Rhinolophus ferrumequinum: one gene and its partner. The protein of the gene in region 2 purifies or fractionates together with the protein of the main gene of each other region. This does not show direct contact. Links are inferred from orthologs where the notes say so. Each region holds a gene or a part of one and is shown on either strand. Other genes may lie near its edges.

Region 1 (7,106 bases), about 23 Mb from region 2:
CAACTGTATCAGAAAGAGCCCTGCAGAAGGAAGTTTTCTAACCTAATTCATGGATTAGCTGGACATTCTCAGGCAGATCATAACTGTACAAAGCGCAGTTCCCCCCTCAGTAAAGTAAGGAGGGTACAGAATTAGATGAACTCCGATTCCCTCTGAGCTCTGAAATCCTAGGAAATGGACTGGGGAATCGTTACAGGTGTGCACTGTCCTATCTGATACCTACAACCACAAGTAGCTATTCAGCACCTGAAATGTGACTGGTCTGAATTGCGATGTGTCATAAACATAAAATATATACCATATTTCATAGACTTAGTACAAAAAAGGGCAAAATATTGCATTAGTAATTTTATATTGATTACATGCTGAAATTAGGTTAAATAAAATATTTAGGTTAATAAATTAGGTTAATAAAAATTACTAAACTTAATTTCACCTGTTCCTTTTTAGTTTTTAAAAATGTGACAATTTGAGGCTCACACTCTGAACATTTGATTTCTACTAGACAGCACTGTTATAGACTATTTTCAGAAGACATAGGAAAATGTGACTCTGTGGCCAAAGAGACAAACAAAATGCAAAGCATTATCAAAAAGAGTCTTGAAAACACAAAAACACTCTTCTGGCCCTATATAAAACCATGGTGTGTCCCTCAGTCCTGTACTGTTTAGTTTTCCTTTCAGTACTTGAAGAAAGATACAACGCAAAACAAAACTCAAGTAAACAGAATGATCAATAAGATAGGCAATAAGGTGAGTAACAAGACTCACAGGCATGTATGGAAGGATACAAGTACAGGAGCATAAAGACTACAATATGTGATAAGAATCGATAAAATCAGATAGAGGCTGAATGAGAAGGTATTAAAGGCTGTTCAACAAATGTCATAAAAAAGCCAGGGAGAATTCTTTGAACCTTTATGGAGGCATTTCAGACAGAGGTACAACTGTGCAGAGCAGGTAGCCTTATATGAAAAACTTAGGAGATGGCTCAGACTAAACATAAAAGTGAGTTCCAAAAAAAATTACATTAACAATTAATCCATAAAAGTGGTTACTATGGAATCACACAATTCCTTGTGTTGCATCTCTGAGACAGACACTAGTATTCTCCAACCCCTACCATGGTAACTCTCTTTGGTTCCTCAGTGAAAAAAAACTGTACACCAACTCAGTGTGCAATTTCTTTGCTTACATGTCACCTTTAAGAACTATCCAAGAGATCAGACAATCTCCAACTTATAAAACCCATCCCCTGCCAAAGTATTTAAGTTGAAGTATTCAGTGAAACAGTCTTTTATCATTCATTCTTCCACTTGATCAGATCAGTCTACCTATGTCTTCTATGATCAGCTCTGAATCCTTATGGATGAGAATCACATGAGCTCTTTTTAAAGAAAGGGTATGCTTTGGTCCACTCACTTTTATAGTTCATTCTTATTCCTGCGAAACAGTTACGAAGATTCGATTGTGTACTAGTGACATGACCACTTACAATTTAGGTGTAGAGAAATCATGATTAGATCTAGAGCATCTTATACATTTAGTATTTTACTTAGTACCTCCAACTTAAAGTCAATTTAAAACACACTGAATTTCTGCCTTTTCTACCAGAACAAATCTTTTCCATAATGATCATTACGTGATCCCAGTGATTTCTTTTCTTCCTCTTACAGAATCTTTTATTTTGGCTTTAAAGCCTTAGAAAAGGTACTCCTGGAATACTTTCTTGGACTGCCTAATTTTAGTTTGCACTTCATGCCAAGAAGAAACAAAATTAAATTTCTTTAAATACACCAGAGATGAGCATACATCACAAGCAAATTAATCTGATAAAAATATTTCCAAGACAAAGAAGAAAAGCCTCCCCTTATTTAAAAAAAAATTCAGAATTTTTCCCTCAGTAGATTTTTTTAAATTTATTAATAACTAGATACATGCTAAGTATACGCCAATTGTGTTGCAAAGGGAAATGAAATGGTTTAAGAACTATTTTTCCTTAAGGTTGGAAGGAACTCTAACGTTTATCAAACTAAGAGGTCTAAAGAAAATCCAACTGATGTATCATCCAAATAATTTCAATATCAATTTCAAGTTAATATCAAGACACATTTTCATAATAAGCAACATTTTACTAATTATAAACACAAAGCTTAAAACTGCTTTACAGATGCTAAAGAATAGAAAATTTCACATCAATTCACTGACAAAAAAACAATAACTTCACCCATGGGATTAACAATGTTACCAAAAGATGTCTGGTTAGATTTCCATGAACTGGATACCAGTGTTGGTTGTATCCTTGTTTCCTTAAAAAGCATATAGCAGAAAGAAGCCACAAAGGACTCAGATGAACATGAAAGCTGCATTTCTACTAATACTGGCTTTGTCCTCCTTTTAATTAAATTATCCTATTCGTATATGTGCTGCCGAAGCGAGCACTAAATTATCCTATTAAAAAGGGGGACATGCACAAGAATGACTCCCCTATCATATAGCATATATTTACCTATAAGTACAATAAGTTACATTAAGGTCCTTTGGCCTTCAAGATTTTGCATACTTTTTGACTGACATTAAACATCAACTTCCTGCATCAAAAGGGCAAAACAAAAAAACCAGTAACATCTTCCTTAAAAGAAAAAAATTCACGGACAAAGATGAATTGCTTTAAACCCACAGCTTAAAAGTATAAAAAAAAATTCATAACTACACAGTTTACCCACTTACCACATACAAACCAAAGTTAACTGAAAAAAATAAAAGACAGTAGCCCTACTAACCGCTATATGCTGCTGACACCTAAACACCGGTTTTAACAAACGCACAGAAATAGAAACACTTGTCAAAGACTGACGTTTATTCCTTTACCCACACATACTTTACTGTTACTTGGACTTGGCAGTAACAAAAAACTCGCCTCCTTTAGTAAACCAAAAAAATGAAATATTGGGTTAAGAAAGGATTATGGAGAAACACCTTAAAGGACAGAAAAGTATTTGTATTTATTGAGGGCCTACTAAATTACCCACTTATATTAGTTTTACCCACTTAAATTAGCTCAACAACATACTTGCAAATGGAATTCATATCTGAGCTGGCAGAAGAAAACCAACACTCCTGAAAAGCAGCTGGGAGGAGTGGTAGGAAAAGAGGGACGACTTGACGTTTTCCCGCATCACCACCAAACCGCTCCCGCCCACCGTCTTCCAGTCCTCAGGAACCCAAACACGCTGACTGAGGACGCGTTCCGGAGGCCGGCGGCATCTCCTGTCATTCGCCAGCCACCCAGACCTCCTGTCATATTTGGGGGGATGACCCATTCCGAGGGCACTGCCTGCTGGGGCTCGGTTCGGACTCCGGAAGACCGGAGATGGAGTTAGGGGCGAGAAGACTTCTGTTCCAAGCACAGCTGTGAGGGCTCAGTGCCCCGGGACACCCGAAAGCCAGGGGGGATAACCCTGGGACAGAGGCCGCGACATCCCTCAGGATCCCCACTACGGAACTGGGACAGCATTCGGGGGACTATGGCTCCGCTCCCTCCGCTCTCCGCAAGAAGGCAAGTCGGAACGGGTCGCTCAGCACTGCGTCAGGCCCTCCATCGTGACGGGACGGGATGCTGGCGGGGGTCCGGGGTAGAGAAGGGCGGGCCGGCGGGCGCCCCACTGCCGGAAGGGGCGAGCCCGCCAGCAGCGCTCCCGCCCCGACCGGGCTCACCTTCAGGTCGTTCTCCGGTAGGTACTTGCACAGCCGCGCTATCTCCACATACTTGTCCAAGTCTAGGGGCGCCATTTTAGAAATAACAAGCCCGGACGGCGGCGGCGGCGGCGGCGGCTGGAGTATCGGCGGCAGCGGCAAAGGCCGAAGCCGGAACTCTTCCTACGTCACGTCCGGCCCGTGAGAGGCATCTGCGCAGCGGCGTAAAGCTTGACCCGATTCTCCCCGCTGCTTCGGCACGCCCCGATCCTTCTCCCGCTGAACGCAGGCTGCGGGCCCTAAGGGGCTCCCTGGCTACATAAAATGAAACCGGCTGCGACCCGTAGTTGTCTGCCGCTGAGAGGGATGGGATTTGTAGTTTTCAGTAGCGGCCAACTACGCCTCTTTTCCTCCTCTTCCCTTCCTCCAGACTTTAACGTCTGGGGACCCAACGAGGCTTTTCCGATGCAAAACGGCGAAGTATGTGACTCTAGTCATTCCCTGGTTTCCCACTACGACTCATTTAAGCATTCTGTCACGAGAACATCTTCAATTAAAAATTAGGTAAGCTTGGCCGTAGTAATCTGTTTGCACCTTTCCGAGGCCTTGTGAAAACCTTGCCTAAATCTGTGGCAGAGATGTCAGGCTACGAATCTTCCAGCCTGGAAGGAAGCGAAACAAATATTAAAGCGTTTTTTATGCCACATGCTATATAAATGCTGTTTTTCCTCATAATGATTGATAGGAAAGCAAGGCTCAGAGAGGTTAATTTTCCCAAGTTTCAAAGGGAATAGGCGCGGGAGCCAGGATTGGAACACGGGTCTAGCTGGTTTAAATATACTTCAGTGTGAATCCCATGCGAGCACGTAGTTTTTGTTGTACCCTCAGTTCCAAGAACAGGATCTGGCACTAAGTACCTTCAATATTCGTTCATTCAACAGCTTTTACTGAACACCAACTATGTGCCAGGTACAGCTGTCGACACTTGGGATATTCAGCAAACAAAATAGACGAAGATCCCTATCCTCAACCCATAGCTACTTTGTAGTAGAGGAGACAGAACATAAGCAATAAATATCATAAATATATAGTATATTTAAAAGTAATCAAGTGCTGGGAGGGGGGAAGCACAGCATGATAAGGGAGGTGAGATGATGCATTTTTAAGAACCAACAAAGAGGTGGGGGAGTTAGCCAGCAGATACTAGAGGGGAGTTATGAGAAAGAGCTAACACAAAGGCCTTAAGATGGAAGCATATCTAGAACCTTGGAAATGGCAAAAAAAATTAGTGTGGTTGGAGCAAAGTGAGAAGAGGAGATGTGAGAAAAGAATGTTGTTGTTTTTGTTTTGTTTTGTTTTTACTGATTTTTACTTTTAATGTAACGGAGTTACTGCAGGGTTTTGAGCAGAGGAGTAGTAACATCATCTAACTCATTTTAGAAGGATCTGGTGCAATATGAAACTAGGAGGCAATGGTTGCAGCTGAGAGACGAGTTAGGAGACTGTTACATAATCCAATAGTAGCAGGTTCTCAATCTATATTTGTTACTCAAGTGGCCCTGGACTGGATCCTCTTGTTCTACAATGTAGTTGGGGGACATTTGGCTAAAATTTAATCAAGTCTCTGGGTGGAGTTCTTCATATATTTCTTGTAACTGTTCTGTAAGTATAATATCATTTCTAGTAAAATTAATTTTTTAAAATTGGTTGCACAATGAATGATGCTCACAAACATACATTTCTTCATTTGTTCAATAATAGTTACATAGTACCTATGATGTGAATGATACAGGAGACAAACAATAAACATAAATGAGCACGTAATTAAATGCAAAGTGTGATTACTGTTAAAGAGGGAAAGAAGGGGTACTGTGAGTTAAAAAATGGAGGAGAGGCCTATTTTAAGATTGTCAAGATAGTGGAGGTTAAGTGTGCAGACTCTAGAACCAGAGTTCAAGTCTATTACTCACTGTATCACTTTGGCAAAGTTATTTATCTTTTCTGTGCTCCAGTTTTCTCAGCTACAATATGGAGATAGTAATAAGTGCCTACCCCATACGGAGATGTTCAGAGTAATACTTTATAGGCTTGTACTAAGGTTTAATAAATTTAATATGTGGAAAGGGGTTAAAACGATGTCATGTCCAGAGTGAGTGCAATGTGAGTGTTAGCTCTTCAGCATTGGACGGCAGGAAAGGCCTTTCTGAAGAGGTAACATTTAAGACTTTAGGGGGAAAAAGTATAAGGGAGAATATGCTCAAAATATCTTGAAGAAAAAAATTCCAAGTGAGGAAAATATGCTACTGTTGACTTTTTTTTTTTTATACTCCTCTTTGGAAAGCTGGCAGTTCACTTTTCATCTCTGCACCTCAGTAACTGGGAATGAATCCTACTCAAGATACTATCTCAGAATTGGGAAGGAGGACAAAGTGCTTGAAAGGAAAGTGTCACCGGCATCATTGCTTCCCTTGCTGATAAGCCAGTGATCAGGTAGGTAATGAAAGCATATGAGATCCTTTCCAGTGAAAATAACTGGTAGTCCTCACATTACCAAATTGTCTGGCAGCAAGAAGCTCCATCCTGCAGACCCACCTTATTCGGTGACCCTCACTGTTCACATGAGGAGCATAGAGAAAGGAGGAAGGTATCCCTGAATGGTGGGTGAGTTCTTAGAAGAGGTAATAGACACATTGGGTGGTTTGTTACACAGACAGTGAGTGTACAGAGCTTGCTGACTGGAATATGTCATTAGTCTTCCTTGCACAAAGCAGAAGATCTGGGCTCCTGGTTCTGCCATTTGTGTGAGTTAGTCATTTTAACTTATCTGGGCCTTGATTTCCATTTTAAAAATAGATCTCAAAAGTTCCTTCTAGCACTTTCTGAAATGTGATTTCTAGTCTAAAAGCATAGGTCCCACAATGAAAACTGTTTGCTATTTTGCCCACAAACCTCTTCCAGTTTTTCTTGTTTATGTGCAACTCCAGCATGGTATTTTGAAAAGTACTTTGAAAAGCCAAAAGACATAGGGGACATCAGAGCATTCTACAACTCTAAGCAGAAATCTCCATCTAGATGCACATGGACATATGGCAGAGCCAACCTGCCCTTGGCTTCCTTTCCTGAAGGAGAGCAGAATGACTAAATACCCCTAAACTCCTCTTTGGCAGTCAGTGGAGATTTTCCCATTAATATGAGAACTCACAAAGACTCCAGGTGTTTGAAATAGGATGTTTGAGCAGTGAAGAGAACTGCAGACCATATTGTCAATAAATTTTCATTATAGTTTCAAGTAACCAAAATATTTACCAAGTTGGCCTTTCACCTGTACTATCCAACACTCTCAACTGCTTCCTCTGAGGTAGGTGTTACTATTCCCATTCTGTAGATGATGAAACTAGGGCTCGCAGAGGG
Region 2 (7,130 bases):
TCATACAGCTCACCCCGCAACACCTCTGGAGCCATCCAGTACGGAGAACCCACCACAGCCAATGGCTCCTTCCGTGCCCCCTCCCTGTAGGGCAGGGGCAGAGTGGTGAGAAACACCCCACTCAGACATCCCCCCAAACAGAAGAGAAGGTCGGCCCCTCCCCAACCAAGGGAAATGTCCCCGGGGGCTTCCTTTAGCTAGGGGTCTTCTAGAGGCTTAGGGGACAGGGGTGTTTACCTCACCTATACACAGGGATCTTCTCAGCCAGCCCGAAGTCGCCCACGACAGCTGTGAAGCCTTGGTCTTCCCGTCGGATCAGACAGTTCTGACGTACACATACAGCATCCCCACACACCCATCACGTTCTGCTCTTCCCTCTCCCAGGCTATACCCAAAGCTCTGTCATTCCACAATAAGCCCAAGGCTCTCTGACCTCCCAGTTCTCCAGTGCACCCCAATCTTGCAGCATCATCTGTCACTCCAAAACACAGTGTGGTACTCAGTCCCTCAGAGCACACCCCCTCAATCCAGGCCCCATTCTCCAACGCCTTGCTACTCTAACATCCTAACATACCTGTTATTCACATTCCAACATCCATGGGCTAGTGACGACCTAACAGTCTCAAACCCCACTTCATGCCTCCACCCATTGGCCAGCCTACCTTGGATGTGAGGTCTCGGTGGAATACACCTTTGGCGTGCAGGTAGCGCAGGCCGTGGGCAATGTCCAGAGCCAGGCGGAGCCTGACAGGCCAGGAGAGGGGTTCAGGGGAGCTGAGAAGCTGTTCCAAGGTCCCCCCATTCATGTACTGGGACATAGGGGGAAGAGAAGGGGAATGAACGTCAAGGTTTCAGTCTGTACTCTAGTCTCCCACTTATAAGCCAACGGACACTGAGGATCACAAAGGTCAGAAGGGTGAGCCCGTGCTCTAGGGGTGTTCTGTCCCATACATGTACAGCGATTTACATTTAAAGTATTAAGTTTAAATAAAATTAAACATTCGGTTCCTCAGTCACACTAGTCACGTTTCCAGTGCTCCCTAGCCACATGTGGCTACAGTTTTGGACATCACAGATATAGAACATTTTCATCGCTACAGAAAGTTCTATTGGACAGCAGTGTTCTAGAGGATAGAGAGGATGAGAACAGCTGAGGCCTTTTATTTGTGGCTTGCCCAAAGGGAAGTTCAGGGCAGCCTCCCTGGGAGGAGGTCCTGCTGCCTCTCACTATTCCTCTGTAGAAGCACCTGGCCCTGACTCTCCTTTTGGTGGTGGTGGGAGTCCCCCCTTTCTGGCCCATCCTCACCTCTGTAAGAGCGTGCAGCTGCCCCTGGTGGACACAGACCCCCATGAACCTGGAAGAGGGGAGGGAAGATAGGAGGGTAGGCTGTAAGAGCCCTGCCCCCCATCTCCCGCAGTTCCCACTTTTCCAGCGGGATCTTTCCCCTTCCCCCAGCAAGCTTCCCAGCAAGCGGCTGGGACCCGCTCACCTTAGGATGTTGGGGTGCCGGAGCTGGTTCATCAGCTGCACCTCCCGTAGCGTGTTTCCCCGGTTACTGGGGAGCCTGTTCATTTTCAGCACCATGACTTGCCCTGACTGTCGGTGCCGAACCTGGGGGCGGCAGAGGCGAATCCCGGGTAGGTCGGGCAGGTCTCCCGGGACTGGGCCCGTATCTCCAGCCTCCCGTCTAAGGCTCGGTCCCGCCCCTCTGCCCTCTCTGCTGGTCCTACCTTGTAGACCTCAGAGAAGAAGCCGGCCCCGATCTTCTCCGCGCAGTGGAAATCGTCCACGCGCGCAAGGCTGGACACCGCGCTGCGGAGCGCCCGGTAGGAGGAGGGGCGGCCCCGGCCCGGGCCTGCACCCGCGCTCCCCGGCCCCGGGGGCCCCTCCCCCGGCGCCTCTCCCGGCCCGGGTCCAGGGCCCCGCAGTGGGGGCCGTTCCCCGGCCATGGCCGGGCCCCCAGCCCGGGCCTGCCTCACATGGCAGGGTCCCCGGGGCCCGGGCAGGCCGTGCTAGCCATGGGCGCGGGCCCAGCCCGATCCGGGGCGCCGGGGCTCCCGCTCCCGCCTTAGAGAATGGAAGATCCGCTGAAGATTCTGGGCCCGCCCCCGCCGCGCCGGCTTGCTGGGCCCGGGTGGACGCCGCTCCGCTCCGCTCTGCGCAGGGCCTGGGCCTGGGCCGGGCGGTGGCGGTGGCGCTCCCGGGCGCCGGCTGGCAGGAGGGCTCCCCGCAGGCGGAGGCGGGCGGGCGCGCCGGCGGCAGCGGCGGTGCTCCTCTTCGCCGCTGGGGCTCAGGCTCCGCGGCCTGCCGGGGGCGGGGCTGAGCCGGGCCTCCGCTTAACTCCTTCCAGCCCGGCCCTCAGGCAGCGGCCACGCCCCCTCAGGTACGCACCCCCAACCGCTGGCGGCGACGCCCTAGGCGAGTGGGTCTGGGGCGTCGGGGTCAAATCAGTTCAGGCCCGAGCTGAATCAACGCAGGGAGAAGGGCTGATTGTGCGTACGTGTGGCTCAAGTGTCTTTTAGCTGTCCAGGGAGACCTTTCTCCCCTCCCATCCTCAGGTCACTGTCATTTGAGGACCGGGCTCAGGAAGCCGCCAGATTCCTGGGCTACACGGACCAGCAGGGAAGAAAAGTCGACCCCTCCGGCCAGCCACAATCGAAGGCAGCCCAGTAACCTGCTCTCCTCGTTGGCCGCTGCCCCGGCCCAGCCTGCCCACTTCCCAGGTCTCCACTCCTACACCTTGAACCTCTGGACTCCGTCACACTTTTCTTCCTTTTCGGGCGGCTGTGATGCCTCAGGGCTGTAGTGAGCCCTTGGCCAGCGCATCCCTATTGTAGTCCCGACTCCTCACTCCATCCCACCTCCCTCGTTTAATAAAGTTCAAATCGCAGAGCCTCCGCCTAGAGACCCACAGCCTGGACTATTTCGTCCCAATGACCCTCTGTCTCAAAAGAGAAGCCTCCAACTACAGGGAAGCCCCTCCTTCCGCCAGATCCCGCCCCTCGGCCAATCCCAGCTCCTCAAGGGGCCCTTTCCCTCAAGACCCCGCTCTGCCTCAGTGAGACCCCTCCCCTTCAGCGGGACCTTTCCTCAGTATGACACTGGCAACATCAGTATGTACCAGAACCCCTCCGTGCGACACCCCCCTCTCGTGTATTTCTCCCACGCAGAGACCCCACCTCTCAGTGACTCCGCCGGTCATTGTGACTCCGCCTCTCAACGTGACTCCTCCCCTCAGTGTGGCCCAGCCCTTATCAGTGTGACCCCTCAGCAGGTTCCGCCTTCCATCACAGAGGAATCCGGTCTGCCCCCTCAGGCCGGCGGAGGAGCTGCCGCTGGCGTCTAAACCAGCTCGAGGCCCTGAATGCGCACGCACTGTCACAGGAGCCTGTGCACTCGCCATACTCGATGCTTCTGCGTCTCCGCTGGCTCTTCCCCCAGCCCTCGGCGAAATAGCCAGTCATCGCCAAGGGTGGGTGATGGGTAGCTCGATCCGGGCGGACTGCTCCCGGGCGGGCGGTCGTGGGCGTCAGTGAGCGCCACCTAGCGGGGGAATGGCGGGCGGCGGGAATGGAGGCTGTGGGCCTCGGGAGGGAAACAGGCGGCGACAGAGCTTTGAAGCGAGGCTGAATTCTCTTCAAAAATTCTAAAGTACTGTATTTCTATTTCTGTGGTAAGCTAAAAAGAAAATAAAGACACAGTCCACATCCGTGTGGGGACCGCCTTCTAACAGAGTTCTGTCCCATGTTTGTGAGTTGGGGCCAAGTACTCTTTTAGTTGTCAAGGGCTAATGAGAAAAGAATACTCAGCCTTAAATTATAAACGATACGTTAGGGTGGAGAGAAGGCCAGATGCTGTCTCGGTGAGGGAAGATTTCGCGTATGTTTGGAGGGGCGAGCAGGAGAGATTCAGTCCTTCCAGAGTCAGTGGAGAAAGGCCAGTCCGGAGAGCAACCTGTGCCTGGACCATGTGCGGCGTACTCAATCTTCCAGAGGCAATTTGGTCTCAGCAAAACAAGCTCATTCATCGCATTAAATTAATGTTAACATCTACAATTACGTAATTTGTAAATTTGCTTTCTATAGAAGAATGAGATCTATAAACACTAGGAATTTATGCCTCATTTTGTTTAAGTAATATCATGCTAGACAACTTAATTGACATGTACCTGACCCTTTATCCAAATTTGAGAATTATACTATGGCTAGTGATGGAGATTCCAAGCAGAGGAGCCAGGTTCCTGCTTTGGCGGCAGTGAGACTTATCAGAAGGAGGCTCTGACAGTGCTTCAGTCAGGAGAGGATAGGGGACGGAACTAAGATAGAGATAATAGGGAAGGACAGGAGGAAACACTCAAGTAGTGGGAAAACGTGCTGATTGATTAGTATCCAGAGTCAGTCCTGTGGAGAGAAAGAGCATCAGTCATAGTAATTTTAAAATTTCTAGCTTAGACGATGGGGTGATATCAACTGAGATAAAGAATCCAGGAGGAGGAGGGACCTGCCCGGTGGCTCAGGCGGTTAGAGCTCCATGCTCCATGCTCCTAACTCCGAAGGCTGCCGGTTCGATTCCCACATGGGCCAGTGGGCTCTCAACCACAAGGTTGCCAGTTCAACTCCTCGAGTCCCGCAAGGGATGGTGGGCTGCACCCCCTGCAACTAGCAATGGCAACTGGACCTGGAGCTGAGCTGTTCCCTCCACAACTAAGACTGAAAGGACAACAACTTGACTTGGAAAAAAAAAGTCCTGAAAGTACACACTGTTCCCCAATAAAGTCCTGTTCCCCTTCCCCAATAAAAATCTTAAAAAAAAAAAAAAGAATCCAGGAGGAGGAAAGGTTGAGTGGAGGAAGGTAAACAATTGCCATAAACAAAGAGGTGATGGTAAAGAAAACTATGAAGGTGGATGCCATCATCCAAGTGGAGTGTACAGAGGGAGAAATAGACGGACAGTGAAATCCTGGGAAAAACCAACATTAAAGGGCAGACGGAGTAAAAGAAGTCCGTGATGGAGGATGAGAAGAGACAAGCTGAAAGAATCTGGAGAGTCTGCTGCCATGGTATCCACGGAATGGAGAGTTTGGGAAAAATGGAGTAACGAATAGCATTAAATAGTGCAGAGGGGTCTGCTAAAACAAGTTTTAAATGTTCCTTGAGTTAGGCTATTAGAAGATTTTTTTGTTGTTTTTCAAACTTTTTTGTGGTGGAAAATGTCAAACAAAAAAAGAAAGAGCAGAGAGAATAGAACAATGAGCCCTTATTTACCTTGGGTGAGTAAGGCTGTTTTGTTGGAGACCCGTGCTTCAGTTGTACTGTTGCCATAAGTGAGCTGGCTCAGTCAAAGTACCAGCTTTCATGTACCTTCTATGCCAGTGATTCTCCAATGATCAATTCCTGGCCAGTCTTGTTTCATACCCCTGCTCTCTTCCCCCCACTCCCAGTTATTTGGTGCATATTTCTGACATTATATCAATTCATCAACAAATATTTCAGTATGTTATCTCTAAAAGATAAGGATTCTTCTTTTAAACAAAATCACAGTACAAAAGTTAACAGTCATTTATTAATACCATCACGCATTTGGTTGTTCCCATTTCCCCCACTGTTTCATAAATATTTACTTTTTAAAAATTGTTTATTTGAATCAAAAGCTGAGTAAGGTCCATACTTCTCAGCTGATATGTTTCTTAAATCTTTTTAAATCTTTAAGTCCATCCTCCATTGTTTTTCTCTTTCTATTTATTTTGTAAGAAACCAGATCATTTGTCCTGTAGTTTCTCAAAGTCTGAATTTGTTGAGCTTCTGATGTAACTTAGCATGTTCCTCAGTCCCCTGTATTTCCTGTGAAATGGTAGTTAGAGACTTAATTAGACTTAGATTATTTCTGAAAACTAATTCATAGGTGGTTTTAGTACTTCTATCAGGAGGCACAGTGGTGGTCTTTTCGTGATGTTAGTAACTAATGAGGATGATTGTGTAGAGTGTGGCTCAAACTCAGCCCTGCTGACATCCTGGGCAGGATATTCTTTCTTGTGGGGAGCTGTTGTGTGCAATGTACGATGTTTAGTAGCATGCTGGCCTCTACCCACTGGATGCCAGTAGCAACTCCCCCAATTGTGACAACCGAAATTGTCCCTAGACATTGTCAGTTATCTCCCAGGCGGCAAAATGTCCCTGACTGAGAACCACTGGTCTAGTTTATTAATATAGGACTAGAAAATAATATTCTCATTCTACCCTTCTTCATGGAATAAATATATCTACAAAGAGAAACTTTACCTGTTTGTTCCTCAGAGGTATATTTCATGTAGGAAAGGCAAGAAAAATCCTTGATTCTCTTTTTTTTATTTTACCAACTTAAAAAAAAAACATTTATTAAATTTATTGGGGTCACATTGTTTAGTAAAATTATATAGGTTTCAAGTGTACAATTCTATAATACATCATCTAGATACTGCACTGTGTGTTTATCACCCAGAGTTAGTTCTCCTTCCATCACCATGTATCTAATCTCCTTTACCCTCCTCTACCAACCCCCTTACGCTCTGGTAACTGCTAAACTGCTGTCTGTGTTGATGATTTTTTGTTTGTTTGTTGCTTTCAGTTTTATATCCCACATACGAGTGAAGTTATATGATTCTTAACTTTTTCTGTCTGACTTATTTCACTTAGCATGTTGTCGCAAATGGCACTATTTCATCTTTTCTTATGACCGAGTAATATTCCATTGTGTATATGTACCACATCTTTATCCAATCTTCTGTTGAAGGACTCTGGTTGTTTCCATGTCTCGGCCACAGTGAATAATGCTGCATTGAACATAGGGGTACATACATCTTTGTGGATAAACGTTTTAAGATTTTTTTGGCTAGATTCCCAGAAGAGGGATTGCTGGGATATATGGTAATTCTGTTTTTAATTTTTTGAGGAACCTCCACACTGTTTTCCACAGTGGCTGTACCAATTTACATTCCCACCAGTAGTGTATAAAGGTTCCTTTCTCTCCACAATCTCTCCAACACTTGTTATTACTTCTCTTGTTGATAATAGCCATTCTAACGGTATCTCAGTGGTATCTCATTGTGAGTTGGTTTCCTAGTGTCCTCCAAAACGCACCAATAAGGTGTTTT

What was found. Proteins that work in one complex are often made in the same cells at the same time.
Region 1: the proteins of TESK1 (region 2) and RABEPK purify together in Homo sapiens (affinity purification with mass spectrometry; 3 studies listed by BioGRID and IntAct, with this or other methods). This does not show direct contact. The link is inferred for Rhinolophus ferrumequinum from reciprocal best matches to the Homo sapiens genes TESK1 and RABEPK.

Annotation. Positions count from the first base shown.
Region 1 is NC_046295.1:74,837,699-74,844,804, forward strand, and holds the start of RABEPK (rab9 effector protein with kelch motifs), read left to right. Parts: upstream 1-4,083; 5' UTR 4,084-4,259; intron 4,260-6,036; exon of another isoform or gene 6,037-6,185; intron 6,186-7,106. Other genes in the region: PPP6C (serine/threonine-protein phosphatase 6 catalytic subunit), read right to left, coding at 3,717-3,791. UniProt on the Homo sapiens protein: Rab9 effector required for endosome to trans-Golgi network (TGN) transport.
Region 2 is NC_046295.1:51,807,467-51,814,596, reverse strand, and holds the start of TESK1 (dual specificity testis-specific protein kinase 1), read right to left. Parts: upstream 3,005-7,130; 5' UTR 1,951-3,004; coding exon 1,732-1,950; intron 1,613-1,731; coding exon 1,491-1,612; intron 1,356-1,490; coding exon 1,307-1,355; intron 810-1,306; coding exon 663-809; intron 326-662; coding exon 243-325; intron 85-242; coding exon 1-84. UniProt on the Homo sapiens protein: Dual specificity protein kinase activity catalyzing autophosphorylation and phosphorylation of exogenous substrates on both serine/threonine and tyrosine residues.